2 linked regions of the Pelodiscus sinensis genome follow. The protein of the gene in region 1 interacts with the protein of each later gene in a biochemical or structural test. Links are inferred from orthologs where the notes say so. Each region holds a gene or a part of one and is shown on either strand. Other genes may lie near its edges.

The links.
Region 2: of the proteins of IFIH1 (region 1) and TRIM65, one has a biochemical effect on the other in vitro, tested with the Homo sapiens proteins (2 studies listed by BioGRID, with this or other methods). The link is inferred for Pelodiscus sinensis from reciprocal best matches to the Homo sapiens genes IFIH1 and TRIM65.

The regions. Positions count from the first base shown.
Region 1 is NC_134717.1:34,873,956-34,881,637, forward strand, and holds the start of IFIH1 (interferon-induced helicase C domain-containing protein 1), read right to left. Parts: upstream 3,266-7,682; 5' UTR 2,958-3,265; coding exon 2,508-2,957; intron 1-2,507.
Region 2 is NC_134730.1:11,107,300-11,114,618, forward strand, and holds the start of TRIM65 (E3 ubiquitin-protein ligase TRIM65), read left to right. Parts: upstream 1-4,025; 5' UTR 4,026-4,172; intron 4,173-5,136; exon of another isoform or gene 5,137-5,341; intron 5,342-5,719; exon of another isoform or gene 5,720-6,040; 5' UTR 6,041-6,059; coding exon 6,060-6,506; intron 6,507-7,319. Other genes in the region: FBF1 (fas-binding factor 1), read left to right, coding at 116-252, 943-1,079. UniProt on the Homo sapiens protein: E3 ubiquitin ligase that plays a role in several processes including innate immnity, autophagy or inflammation.

The sequences.
Region 1 (7,682 bases):
GTGGGGGCTGAAGTTATGGAAGCAAAATACACAGTATATCTCCACCATCAGAGGAGAATTCTCTAAAGAGAATTGGTCCCCCTCCCCACCGAAATCTCTCTAAGGCTACAGTTTAATATGATGGTGATCACTCTAACACCTCTGAAAGCCCCAAAGCACAGGACCATCTCCATGAACCATTCTATGGGTGGGACACTGGGTGATCCCACTTCGGGGTGCTCTCTCTGCACTGGATGCTTCCCTTATCGTTATATAAGGTTCAAAGCAAATGAAATGTATTAAACAGCAATTTTTTAAAAATAAAGAAAAAATGGGAAAGGTTAAAAGGAAAACACATAACTCTACTCTGAGGCAGAGGACATCATGAGTGGCAGTCTCTGGAATGTAAGGGAAGTTCACACTCTGTTCCTTAGACATCCAAGGCCCCCTTCTCAGGCCCAGACTGCTGCAGGGATGCTGTGGGTTGGATACTTGCTCTGATCATGGTCACACATCTTCAGGCTCTAGGTGGCAGGACTCTTCTTACTAGAATCGGCTTCTCCATCAGGGATATGATTCCCTTCCCAGTCTAGCCTGAAAGAACTCTTGGCTAAGGGTGTCTCTGCATTGGGCCCTCTCTTCAGGGCCTCTCCCTCCAGGAGTGACGTGAGTGGGGCACAAAGGGTCATATGTCTCCCCCCAAATGCTGGGGGGAGAGGAGACAAGCAAGGGACTGGCAGGCAGAGCTGTCCTCTCCTATGGATGGTTTGTCCAACTGTCCCATGCCCTGTGCGTTGCAGCTAGCAGTAGGGGTCAGCCCTCAGTGGAATGACCTGGCCCCACCCCACTCTGCTCCCCTGGTTCCCAGCTGCATCACTTTTACTTCCTGCCACTGGTGATTGCAGGGGGCGGTTCCGCCCCTTTCACAAATCTCCTCCCTCAGCAACAGACCAGAAGATTAGCAGGGTCCTGGCTTCAGGGGTCAGAACTACCCCACACTCACAGGCCACAACAGGAAGTAGAGTGAACAAGACCCAGCACACTCTGCTTCTCTGACTCCCAGCTGTATCGCTCAGTGGAGGAGGCTTGTGGAAGGAGTGGAATCACTCCCCCGTCCTCCACACTCACCAGTGGCAAGAAGCAGAGCAATGCTGCAGGGAGCAGAGAAGGTTGCAGGCGGGTCACTCTGCTTGCCATCTCTGATGCCTGTGAGTACAGGGAGGGAGGGGCTGACCCCTGCTGCAGATGCCAGGTCTCCGTTAGTTCTCCCCATCAACATCATTTGTGGGAAGGGATTTGGGGAAAGGGATGGAATAGGACAGGGAGGGAGCAGATAGGGACAGGAGAGGTTGGAAGGGGCAGAGTTTGGGGGAGGAGGTGGAGTAGGGGCAGGGCAAGAAAAGGCAGGGACTTCCCCTTAGGGTTGCCAGATGATTTCAACAAAAATACCAGACACACTTGACATTATATTGCAATCTACATTCCATCTTATTTAGAAAATACCGGACACTTAAATTTGCTCATTTACGTTTTCTCAATTTGTTTCCTGGGACAGAAAGCTCAAATACTGGACTGTCTGGTTCAAAACTGGATACCTGGCAACCCTACTTCCCCTGGGCTAGAGGTTGCATGGGGAGGAGTCTCATGGAGGAAGTCACATGACCAGTGCCTTCCTTGCATCCTTCCCCAGTACTCACCATTGCCCTCCCCCCACTCCCTGCTGGCCCCAGTTGTTCACCACATCCCACTCCAGTGGGCTCCAGCCCCAGCTCCACCCTCCTCAGCATGGGTCCTGTTCTACCTTCAGCCCAGAGCTGCTTCTCTCACCCCAGTTGCTGCAGCCCTGCTCCCAGCATGGATCTTCTCCCTGGTGCTCTCTGATTGGCTCCGTTTTGCTCCTCAGCTCAGTTTGGGCCCCTGGTCTCTCCTTAGCTCGGCCCCACTCTCTGACCAGGCAATTCCAGCTCACACAAAGGATGGCCCCCTCCCACTCCCTCATTAGCCGGTTTTCCCGTCAATCACGCTGACTTGGAATGTTGGCTTCTCCCTATTGCCCCTGGGGACTGTCCCTCTCAGGGTCCTGATTTCTCATTGACCCTTCCTTTTGCTACTGGCAGCTAGTCAGCCCCCAACCCTATTGAGCTGTAGCAAGGGGCCAAACCGTCCTTTACTGGAAGGGGCAATTAGGGGAAACTGGGGGCGGAGGGAGAAGAGGGCAGCAGGAAATGAGGGCGCAGAGGAATGGGGAGACCCTTGGGAACACTGTGACGGGGAGATGTACAAGTTAGGGCAATCATCCAGGGCAGTCCTCGCCCAGCACTGGGAGGAAGCACAGTTCTGCAGAAGCGTGGTGGCCACCGAAGTCACCACACAGCTGGCGGGAGACTAGGAAGGCCAGGGTCGGCTGCCCGGGCTGCAGGGAAGGAATCCCAGAGCCAGCGCTTCTCCGGGGGCGGGGCGGGAAGCAGAAGGGCTCGGCCTGGGTGCAGCTTTCCTGGGGCAGCCTGGAGGGGGGCAGAGCGACCTACCCGTTCATGGTCCTCATCCTGCAAGAGTCCCTTCTCCACACACTTGTTAGTGACCTCCGGGCTCATCAGCTTGTCCACCAGGGTGCCATAGAGCAGCTGCACCATTTTCACGCACATGTCGTGGTCGGCCTCCTCCGCCGGCGAGGGCAGCTGGCTCAGGCTGGGGTTCACGTAGCAGACGGCCATATCGCTGCCCCCCTGCTGCAGCGCGGTGACGAACTGCTGGATCCAGCCCGGCTCCTTGCAGCCCCGCTCCACGACCCCCAGCAGCTCCCCAGCCGCCTGCTGCTCGCCCCCCTGCCGAGCGACCGCCCGGATCCGCTCCTTTTCCTGCACGCTCAGCGTGTCCAGACAGTCCAGCACCGGCACCACCCGTATGTACTGCGTGAGCCGGGTCCTAAAGCAGGAGATCAGATAAATGAACTCCTCTTCGCGGGAGGGGGCCGACATCTTCTCTGCGTCCAGGTTCAGTGGCACGGCTGGGGCAGTTAGGAGTCGCTTCCGGGAGTCTCCAGTGCCCAGGGAGGAGGGAGGGTCCCGAGCTTCTCCGGCACTCAGCTCCTAGCTGCTTGGAGCGGGCAGGTGGCTGCGGTTCTTCTTGGGCGCCAGTGCAGCCACACAAACAGCTTGGTGGACGGGTGAAACTGCTGGCTGGGCACGTCTCTCCGAGGTACCCCGCTCCGTGCCTCCGAGGTTTTGCTGAGCTGGAGCTGACCACAGCGCTTTTAAGCTTCCCCAACCGGCCGCTTTCGGTTTCGATTCCTGCGGGCTGTTCGGTTTCCAAACGAAAAGGACTGAGCCATCTTCCTGAGTCCGCAGGCGGCCAGTCCCATGCTTCACTTTTTAATCTTTTCTGTGCACCCCCATGACCAGTTCTGTATAGATTCCTATCCCACCCACATCCCAACAACCTCTGCAAAGATTAAAAAGACAAGGACTGTTCAACTTAGAAAAGAGACATTTAGGGAGTTATTGATTGGGGGGGTCTATAAAATCAGGAATGATGTGGAAAAAGTGAATAGAGAAGTTTTATTTTTTTACCCTTTCACACAATACACAAAAATTCAATGATATTAATAAGTAGCAGATTTAAGGCAACAAGAGGAAGTACTTTTTCACACAATGCACAGCACAACTAGCCTGTGGAACTTGTCATGGGAGGTTGTTATGGACAAAAGTACAGTTGTGTTCATAAAATAATAAGTTCATGGAGGATATGTCTATATGCAGGGCTGGATGGAGGCATGGGCAAGCCGGGCAGCTGCTCAGGGCGCCAACCCAGATGGCAGCTGTAAGGGACCCGCGGCATCCCTTGCAGCTGCCATTAGGAGCTGCGCGCCCGGCTCCCACAGTGGCTGGACAGCAGCGCCCTTGCCCCTACGGTTGCAGGGCCATGCATGGCCCGGCGCGTGCACTAGCAGCACTGGCCGGGTTGGGCAGCGCATGCGCCGTGTGCCCCACGGGCGGGCCTGTGCATGAGCCCTGCGCCCGGGGGCAGCGCCCAACGTGCCAAAAGGGCTCAGGCCAGCCCTGTCTATAAGTGACTATTAGTTAAAATGATCATGGGCACAACCCCATGCTCTGGCTTTCCCTAAACTTCTAGAAGCTGGGACTAGGCAATAGGAGATGAATCACTCAATAATAGACCTGTTCTGTTAATTCTCTCTGAATTATCTGCTACTGGCCACTATGGGAAAACAGCACACTGGCCTAGATGGACTATTGGTCTGACCCAGTATGGTCATTCCTATGTTCTTACATAGAGCTGTAATTAGATATGAACACAGAAACTCTCCTCTGTTTATTTTCTCTTCTAACACTGTTTGTTTTCTGTTTCCCTTTTTTTGTACTTCCATTCTGGGTTTTGGTTTCAATTCACTCTGTGCAATTTAGTTTCATTGTTGTCTCTTATCATTCCTTTTTTATTTCTGGTTTGTTCTATGTCCCTTCTGAAGCTCCTTCTGTCTCTAAGATTTCATATTCATCCCCCTCTGACTTTCCTCTTATACTTCTCTCCAAAACATCGTCACTATCATCAGTCACTGCACTTTCCTTGTATTTTTACATTTTCTGATTTTGGCTGTCATTTTTCTTCACAATTTGGAACAGAGTTTTCCAACCTAAAGATCCTTGTTGCTAAGTAACATGGTTATTCACCCTTACTTTTTCTGAGCATCCTAGTTGCCATGGCACCCTTGGTTAGCACAAGCACAGGGTTATAGATAAATAGATTATAGGAATGATAGTCAGATCTGTAAAGGTATTTAGGTACCTACAGATTCAGATAGGTGCCTAACCTTAGGTACCTCATGGGATTTTTGTTTAAAAATCTTTACCTTTGAGTAAGAGGGTGAGTTTCTTTCTGTAAAAATGTCTACACCAAGACATGCAGGAATCCATTCTATATACTGTATGTGGAGTTTTATAAAAGTATCCTTACAGTCACATCTGACAGCAAAGCTATACTTCCCAACAATAATGCTTCTATTATAACCCTGTTAAGGGTTGGGTTAAGATACTTTTGTTTTAATTTGGCTAAAACCAGGAATAAGCATGGTGGCTTATCTCCCCAGGTAAGAAAAGACTGATACTACACACAGGGACTAGGAAAGTGAACAGGTAACCAGTTAACCGTTATCAAGTAAGCATCACTCTTCCTGGGTGATGCTTACCCAGTAATGGTTAACTGACTCCCAAGAGTAGTCCCCCGCCTGTGGCCCACCACAGGCAGAGGGCTGCTCCAGCCCTCCTGTGCCCACTGCACCACAGGGCAGGATGGGAGCTTGCAGCCCTACATTGAGCCAGGAGCTCTGTGCGGGATGGGGGTGGGGAGAGAAGGCTGGGCCCAAAGGGGACAGCAGAGGCAGCACTGCTGGGTTTGCGTCCCCCCCCCATTTAATTGGTTAACTGATTAATCCTAAGGTTTAAGCAGTTAACTGATATTACATCTCTACTGGGGACTAGATTCACAAGGGGATTCATGCATTGTGACATTCAGCATTACCACACTTAAAAGTTGCAGTTAGTTTGCTGAGGGCTTGGCTACCCTTACAGTGCTGCAGCCGAATGTTTCAAGCTTGGTGCAAATAGGCACACAGGCAAGACTGGGGACTTTGAGGCAGGAATGTTTTTACACAATCATGCATATTCAGCATAGTACACCCTGATCACGCCAAAAGGAGGAGTAAAATGGTAATTTTATTTCTGATCATCAAAAAGCAGATGCAGCCATAACATTGTTAACTACTAACATAGTTTTGCAACATCCTGAGTATCAGGGTGTTCTCCAAATAAGGGTGTGTTAGGTATATTACACAATGGCTGTGTCTACATTGGCAAGCGCCTGCTTTTGTGCAAAATCTTGCCGCCTGTCTACACTGGCCGCGAGTATTTGCGCAAGAACACTGACGTGGTAATGTACAAAATCAGTGCTTCTTGCACAAATACTCTGACGCTCCCACTCAGGGATAAGTCCTCTTGCGCAAATATTCTTGCGCAAGAGGTCAGTGTAGACAGGCAACCTTAATTTCTTGCGCAAGAAAGCCCGATGGCTAAAATGGCCGTTGGAGCTTTCTTGAGCAAGAGAGCGTCTACACTGGCACGGATGCTTTTGTGCAGAGGCACATGCCAGTATAGACGCTCTCTTGCGCAAATACTTTTAATGGAAAAACTCTTCCGTTAAAAGTGTTTGCACAAAATCATGCCAGTGTAGACGCAGCCAATATGTAATCAATTGTAGATATTATTAGAATGACCACGTTGAGTATAAATATAGGAGTATAAAGAATAAGCAGTAGGGGGGACTGAGCAAGGTATTCCCACATATCTTGCTTGCAGCAACTAGAAGCTGAACCATTCATTTCGGTAGATGCATTGTGGGTGCCTCTATGCTTGGGGAAAGAGTGAGGCCACGACCTCCTGTCTGGCAGTTGTAAGGCTGCTTACAGTTGAACTGCGTGTGATTTATAGAAATAAGTACATGTACATCTATATCCTTAAAGCTTCAGAGGGGTAGCAGAGTTAGTCTATAGCTGGAAAAACATTGAATAGTCTATCAGCACCTTCAAAACTAACAAAACATGTAGACGGTATCATGAGCTTTCGTGGGTACACAGATGAAGAAGTAGGTTGTACTCACGAAAGCTCTTGATACCAGCTACATGTTTTGTTAGTCTAGAAGGTGTTGCTAAACTATTTGTTGTTTTTCAAGTATATCCTTAAAGTTGCATACCTTGTGTATTGTCCAGCTGGTTTTGGAACCCACAAGGGGAAAGGCTATTCTTGATTTAGTCTGGATCTGGTTCAAGAGGTAAATATAACTGGACCGCTTGGAAATAGCAACCATATTGTAATAAAATTGAACATCCCTGTGGTGTGAAAAACACCTCAGCAGCCTAACACACTAGCATTTAATTTCAGAAAGGGGAATTATACAAAAATGAGGAAGTTAGTTAAACAGAAATTAAAAGGTCCTGGGACAAAAGTAAAATCTCTGCAAACTGCATGGAAACTTTTCAAAGACACCATAAGGCATAAGGATCCTGTGCAAAACAGGGTTTTTGCGCAAAAAACCCCCTAGCCACATTACTTTTCCCCCCAAAGAAACCCTTTGTGCAAAACCGGCGTGCAAAGATTATGCAAATGAGGCATGGTGATATGCTAATCCATGTCTCATTTGCATACACACTGCCAGCAAAACCGGCAGTGTAGACGAAGCCCTATCGGATAGTAACTTAAAAGTTAAACACCCAGAATACAGCATAACTGCAGCTACTGTAGGAAAAGACCTTATGTTATCTTTTCCCCAGTGAGACTGTTTGCGTAAGGATGAAAGAATCTGGCTCATAAAGAGATGTTTGCAAGTCTATAGTGCCTTTCATCAGAATATCTCTATACCATTTACAAACCTTTAACCTGAAAAACAAGTAGTCCTGAAAAAGTAGGTTTTGAACATGAAAGCTCATACTTTATATATATAATTTCCAAATAACTCCCCTCATTTCAAAATAACAAGCACAGCGTCCACACTACCAAGCCTGTTGTTTCAAAATAACTCCTGCTTGTCATGAGGAATAACACTTATTTCAAAATAGCTATTTCCAAGTAGCATTAGTGTAGAAGCTCCACTGCTGCTATTTTGAAATAACTATATACCCTAGTGTTTCCTGGGGCTCT
Region 2 (7,319 bases), on another chromosome or scaffold:
GGGGGTCTGTTTCTTCTCCATCTCTGCAGAATCTGTGATGATGCAGGATTGTAGCTTCAGGATAGTTAACCAAGGAATAGAGAGACCTGTCCTTTTACTCCTGTCTTGTTTTCAGCCACAGTCTCAAGATGAGAACTTTCAAGACCTTTGACTTCTATAAGAAGCACCAGAACAACATGACCCCAGCCGGGTTGGCATTTTTCCAGTGCCAGTGGGATGATTCCGTTACTCATGTCTTTCACAACCATCTCAGTAAGAAACTCACTTACTAGGGATCTGGGCCAGGGAGTCACCCTTCGCTTCCCCCTCCCCCCCCCATCCATCCATCCAGCAGTCGAGCATTACTAAATGTGTCTTGGAGGAGACAGTCATTTGGTAGTGCCTGGGGTTGGGAAAAGAGGACAAGAAGATGGAAGCAATTTGCTTAGACGTCAGACACACCTGACTGAAATCAGCCATGGCCATGTGGGCTCTCTGATGGAGCAGATGAGGTTCCAAGAGGCATGGGCGTGTGTGAGTGGAGGGTGAATTCAAAGGCCAGTTCTGACTTGCCCCTTTGGGGACAGTTGCTCTAACTGGTTTCTATATAGCCACGTATGCCTGGCACATTAGTCTGACACTGGGAACATTTACAGCTGAGCATTAGAAGCAGTTGGCCTATCAAAGGCTGCAGTGTGTTTGTGGCCATCTTAGGGTACATAATTCTGGGGGCTTCGAATCCCATTTTGACTGGGTACTTTAAAATAACAAGGGGAGAGGACGTGGCAGAGCGAGGTTCCATTGCCAGGCACTACATGTGTGGTTTTGATCTGTAATTAATCTCACATTCTGCCCTACGAGGGACGTGGGATCTTCTGAGCAATGGAAGTGGGGATGGGGGGTGATGGTGCAGGGTTAGGTTTTGAGAGGTCTTAGCTAATGTTCAGCATTGTTCCTTTGCAGACATGAAGGAGCCAGTGTTTGAGTTTGTGCGACCCCCTGTGTATCATCCCCGTCAGAAGAAGTTTCCACACCTGCAGCCTCTGAGGTACCTGGATAGGTACAGGGACAGCCACGAGCCCACATATGGCATTTACTAAGGCGTTTCCCACCACTCCAGGAGCTCCAAGCCACTGGGTCAGGAATACTCTACCTTCTCGACGCGTGTCAAATGCCTGTGCTGACGGGAACGTTCCATGACTCTGGGAGAAGGGGGATGTGAGCTTTCACAATCACAGCATGCTGTGGTCTAAGCTCGGATTCATTGACAACACTGGAAAGAATGTAACGGAAGTTTGCCAATATTTCTGCTATTGGTCGTTACCTTGGTCAAAAGCCTTGTTAATAAAGGATATTGTGGCCATGAGAGTGTCTCCACCTCTGCTCTGATGGCCTCTGAGCCAGATGCAAATGTTGCTGACCAGCCCAGTGCCCTCCAAAGGCACTGTATCTCACTGCAGGAGCCAGAACTCTAAGCATAGATAGCTGGAGGTGGGCCAAGACCCATCAGTTCAGGTCATGTATCCACACAGAGAGAAAAATACTTTTATCTAAATCCAGCCCCGTGATCTGTACAGCCCGGAAGAAGGGGAACTGCCCATTTGGTGCATTTCTTTCTTCCCCACCATGAAATTCCCAGTTCTGGGATTCTGGGCAGCATCCTGCATATTCTGTACAGATATTTTAACAATCTATAAAACACTTTCCAAATGAAGCTGATGATGTGAGTCGCTGACAGCTTGGGGAACCCACAGGCAATGTTCCCGCTAATTTTTTCCATTCTTGTGTGGAATACGTTTTATGTACACCAAGGCATATGTGGATGTGCACCACCATTAGCAGAGCACCCACAGCATGTGTTTCTAATCAGCTGGGCAGCAGTTGCATCTCTCCTGGGCAACTACCCAAGTGCTCAGCTTACAGGCAACTAATGCAGCAATTCAAAATGTATTACGCTCTATGTGCTTCAGGACTGATGCGATCAATGCTTTACGCTGATTTGATACTGCACTCCTGCACCCCTGTTGGTCATTGCCAGACAAGAGGAAATGCAGGGTTCTGATATAGACATCAGACTAGGCTGACTAGTCTGCCTACATTTTGAGAATGAGTATTAAGGGGACTGGGCTCTACTCTGAAATTAAGAGAACATGCAAAGCCCAGGCGTGTCCAAACCCACCACTTCTCCAGGCCATCAACAAGGTCTGGGTGTTGTTCTTAGAGATAGGTCAAAATCAGAACTCAGTCTGGGTCATGGCTGAGACATGTTGGAAAGTCACTGAGTGCGGGACGCTTTCAGCAGAGGCAACAGTGCATCTGCTGTGTAGATATATGGTGCCCACCAATTTCCACAGCTCTGACCCTAGTACCTATCACTAGCCTTAAAATTGGCCCCCCATTAGATTTGTTGGCTGCCCAAAGCGGCAGTAAGGAATCCCAGGGCAGCTGACTGGCCTGCAGTTGCTTCATCCATCGCTGTGTCACTGAGGATGCATGTAGAAGCATCAACACCCTACCTATGCCAGGACTCCAGGGCTATGTCTACACTCCTGGCTTCTTGTGCAAGTACAGCCGTTCTTGCACGAGAATCCGCAGAGCGTCCACACTGCCACCACCCCTCCTGCGCAAGGAAATTTACAGTATGGCATAAGAGAGGGCTTCTTGTGCAAGTGCTATGCTCTTTTTTCTCAGGTGTAAGCCCTCTTGTGCAGGAGCTCTTGCGCAAGAGGGCAGTGTGGATGCTGAGCAGGGATTTCTTGTGCAAGAAAGCCCTATGGCTAAAATGGTCATCAGAACTTTCTTGCGCAAGAGAGAGTCCACACTGCCATAGGTGCTCTTGCACAAAAGCAGAGCTCGCACATGGCGGTGTGGACCTTTTGTTGCACAAGATGTTCTTGCGCAAGAAGCCGCCAGTGTAGACAAAGCCCAGCTGAGTTCCCTGCAAGAACTCCTGTTTACCTGAGTTGCCTCTTGCTGAATCTGTGGTATTCCTCCTGTTGAAGGAGTAAAGAGTACTAACCAAAGACATTTAGGCTATGTCTACACTCGCGGCTTCTTGTGCGAGTAATATGCAAATGAGGCTAAGCATGGAATATTGCCGAGCCTCATTTGCATACCTAATGAGCCACCGTTTTTTTCGGAAGGGGCTCTTGTGCAAGGAGCGTCTACACTGCCCCTTCTTGCGCAAGAAATGCCCTCTTGCGCAATGCCGTTCTTCCTGAAAAGTAATAGGTGTAACCGCATTGCGCAAGAAGGGGCAGTGTAGATGCTCCTTGCGCAAGAACCTCTTCTGGAAAAAAATGGTGGCTCATTAGGTATGCAAATGAAGCTCAGCGATATTCCACGCTTAGACTCATTTGCATATTACTTGCGCAAGAAGCCGCAAGTGTAGACATAGCCTTAGTGTTTAAGTACCCACCCTTTTACATGCTCCCTCAGCGCCACAGCGATGGATGCACCAAGTGCAGGGCTAGTTGGCTGCCCTGCCTTGGGCAGCCAACAAATTTATGCTCACAGTGCAATATCCCTCTGAGGGAGGGATACCTCTGCTGAGTGAGCACAGGCCCCTCTCTGTCTCTAATGGGATAACATTGGCCTGACATTCCTCTAAATCAAACCACAGACCACCTGGTGCTGCATGGAGATTACAGACAGCAAATTGACTTGATATGTGGGGAGACTGTGTAGCCTGGAGTGTGGCAGAAATAAGAGCCTTAGCGGAAGGTCTTTATGGGGAGAGATGGGACAAGGAATCAGGGATGGAGGGGGGGTTTCAGCTCAACTTTTGCCAATGTTGATTTTGGAAGGAGAAGGACTGAGGAGTCCTGGGTGGTGCTGCCACAGGGTTTGCAAGTGGCAGGATTGTGGCTGAAGCTGGGGCCAGTCTCTCTATGTGAGAAGTTCCAGCCCATTTGCGCACTGGAGATTTCAGATTGGCTGCCTCCCGCCCATTGCCCAATCTCCTGCAGCAGAGCAGCCAGTCAGAGCTGCTGCAGGCAGTGCTCCTCCTTTCCCCTCCACCAGTAACTCAAATGTTCTCAGAGGAGGCAGAAAGAGACCAACGAGCCAGGTCCCTCTGAGCAATGGGGACAGCACCTCTGGTACCTCCCTACTACTAGCTGGCCTAGGAGGTGAAGAGCCCTTGCCTATGCCCCAGGCCCAGGAGAGGGGGGTGAACCACAAGAAGTGCACAGGTGAGGCTGGGAAATGGGGGATGTGAGCTAATGGGGGTGGAATTAATTATTGGGCAGGAGGTGGGTTAGATGGGCCAGAGAAACCCCTGCACAAGGGCCAGACTCTCATGTCCCAGTACATTTGGGAGAGTGGGCAACACTAATTGTCCCACACAGATTGGGCTAGGCAGGAGGTGGCTGACAATCAGAAATCACAACACTGGATGCTTTTTTTTTTCTTTAAAAAACATCTGGGGTCAGGCAGAGAGAGGATGGGGGGCGGGTTAAGGGTTAACTAGAGCTGGAGGATAAAGGGCAAAACAGCTAGTGTCTGAGTACAGAAGCAACTGGCTTTTATTATTTCCAGAGCGCGATGTGCAGAGACAGAGGTTTTAGAACAGGTAGTAAGTAAAGCAAGCGCATAAGCCAAGCAGAGCCCTGGCTGAGAGCTTGCAGCCTGAACGAAGTACAGCTGCTTGTAAGTGTTATGCCTCTGATCTCATGGCATGTGTGGGAGGAGAGTGCCTTGCATCACACAAGCAGTGGCACAGTTCTCCCTCTGATCTACCCCCATGCTCCCTGGACACAAAGTGGTAACAGAAAGACCGTTAGGTCCCAGTAGGAGTGGGTGGGACTCTGCTTGATCTGGAGTGGTGAGCAAAAGGGCAAGAAGTAGACAAAATCTTAAAGACATGTTCTGTGGTGATAAGATTCCACAGAAGAGCTTTGAACTCCCACCAACCCCAGTCTCAGACTGCATCCTTGGGATCTAAATATGGGAGGCTCCATCCTTCATTGGCTGTCCTAGGTGTAACGGTACTCCCCTCCCCTTGTATTCTCCACTGACTCCTCGTGTGATTGCATGTGGGGCTTGCACTCAGTCATGGCACTGGCCTCCGGGTTTGTGATCTGTGGAGCCAAGCTTTGTCATTGTAGGTGGGCGCTGGCTGCTGCTGAGACCTCCCAGATGCATGACAGCCTTTTGCAGTTGCTCTGCCTTCCCATAGCGAGGAAATGCAACATCCTGTTAGGTTGCAATGCATCTCCATGTTACATTTCACTTAGCTAGCAATCCCTGCCCAGTGCTCAAGGCCCCTGACCAATGCTGGGGCTCTGTATGGCTACGGTCTGCCCTGCTGATCCACTTCCTCAAGCCAGCAAGGACATGAGTGCTGCGTGCAGAGTCTCTGGTAGGTCCTCTCTGGTTTGCCAAGGGCTCTGCGTCCCACACCCCCCCGCCCAGCACCCCCAGCCTGCCCCTGCCCCGCCCCCTCTGCGTCCCACAGCCCCCCGCCCATCACCCCCAGCCTGCCCCTGCCCCGCCCCCTCTGCGTCCCACAGCCCCCCGCCCATCACCCCCAGCCTGCCCCTGCCCCGCCCCCTCTGCGTCCCACAGCCCCCCGCCCATCACCCCCAGCCTGCCCCTGCCCCGCCCCCTCTGCGTCCCAAAGCCCCCCGCCCATCACAATTCCAGCACAGAATTGTGGTCACTGTAATAAAACGGTGGGGGAGAGGGAAGGTGGCAAGGCTCTGCCTGGTTTGTAAAGACAAGCCCTGTCCCAGGAGAAAATGGCTGTTCGGGTTGAAAGCTGAGAACTCCTCTCAAGGGCTAAACAGAAAACAGCCAAAAAATTAGCTAGCAACACGAAGCTGAGCAAAGGCAGCTTTTCAGGCCTCCCCAGGCAGCCAGCAGTCTGAGGGTCTGGGAAATGAAAACCAGAAAGTCTCCTTGAGAGAGCAGAGAACAGGTGTTCGATAAATACAACGCCGCCGGCCTGTGTGTCCCTTTAAGAGCTTAGCTGGCTCTGTGCCCATCCCTCCTCTCTGCAAAGCATAGCTCTGTCCTAGCCGCCTCTCACGCTGCTGTTTGATTTCCTTCTCTGCCTCAGCTGCTCTTGGCCTAGCAGGATGGCAGCTCAAGGCCCCCAGAAGCTGGAGGAGAAGCTGGTCTGCTCCATCTGCCTGGAGATGTTTGGGACACCAGTGACCATGCCCTGTGGGCACAACTTCTGCATGAAGTGTATCAACAACCACTGGGACAAGGAAGAGATGACAGCTGCTCCGGGCGAGAAGGTTTGCACCTGTCCCGACTGCAGGAAATGCTTTGGGCAGCGGCTGGAGCTCAGCAAGAACGTTGCCCTTTGCGGCGTGGTAGAGCTGGTCAGGTCTGGCGAAGAGCAGGCCTCCAGCATTGAGAGGAAATCCCCCGTCAATGGGGGCAGGTGCTCCAGGCACGGGCGGCCCCTGGAGCTCTACTGCCAAGAGGAAAAGCTGTGCATCTGCTGTGTGTGCACGGTGAAGGAGTGCCGGGACCACCGCAGGGTCCTGGTCGAGGAGGAGCGCAGGAGAAAGGAGGTAGGGTTGGGCTGGGTCTCCCCTGTGAGCTGCGGGGCCCTAACTCACGGATGTAAAAGTTTAAAAAACAACACTAACCCTGTAACCAAACAAAATTCAATTGGTTACATGGGAAAACCTACCAGGGGCTCTTGGTGGCTGCCAGCCCTGCGGTCTCTCGGCAGCGGCCAGGAGTTTAACTGCTACGGTTAACCCAAGATTCAGCAGAACTAGCAGATGTTGCAGCATATTTGAACACTAAATAGTTAATAGTGTTGTGTGGCTGTCTGGTAACCAGCTCCCGGATTTCCTGCCTGCCTTCCGTGTGCGCGCAGCCATTCCAGAGCGGGACCCAGTAGGCATTATGACATGCACAGCCCTGCTCCTCCCACAGCTGCTTGAGAAGGCGACAGACACCCTTCCTCTGATGATTATTTAGGGCTAGCTGGGAAGTTGCCTGTGAGGGCGAAACTATAACCGGAGAGACCCAGCCTTGCAGTGTGAGAGAGAGAGGTGGAAAGACAGTGTCTGCTTCCTGTTGCCTGTGCTGCCTTTTAGCAGCCCAGTGCTGTCGCCTGCAGCCAGCATCCAAGCTGAGCGATTCCTCAATGCCTTTGTGGTGGAGCAAGACAGATTTGCAAAAGGGAAATAAAAGGCTTTCCATGTGAGGTAGCTCTCTCCAGAGACCTGTATTCTGTTCCCACGTGACCCAGGACAATGCCCTTCCCCCTCCATCCCAGTTTCTCCTGCTATAAAATGAGGGTGCTAATATGTACCATCCTTTGTAGGGTGCTTTGAATCCTACACATGCAAAGAGCCGCATAAGAACTAGCC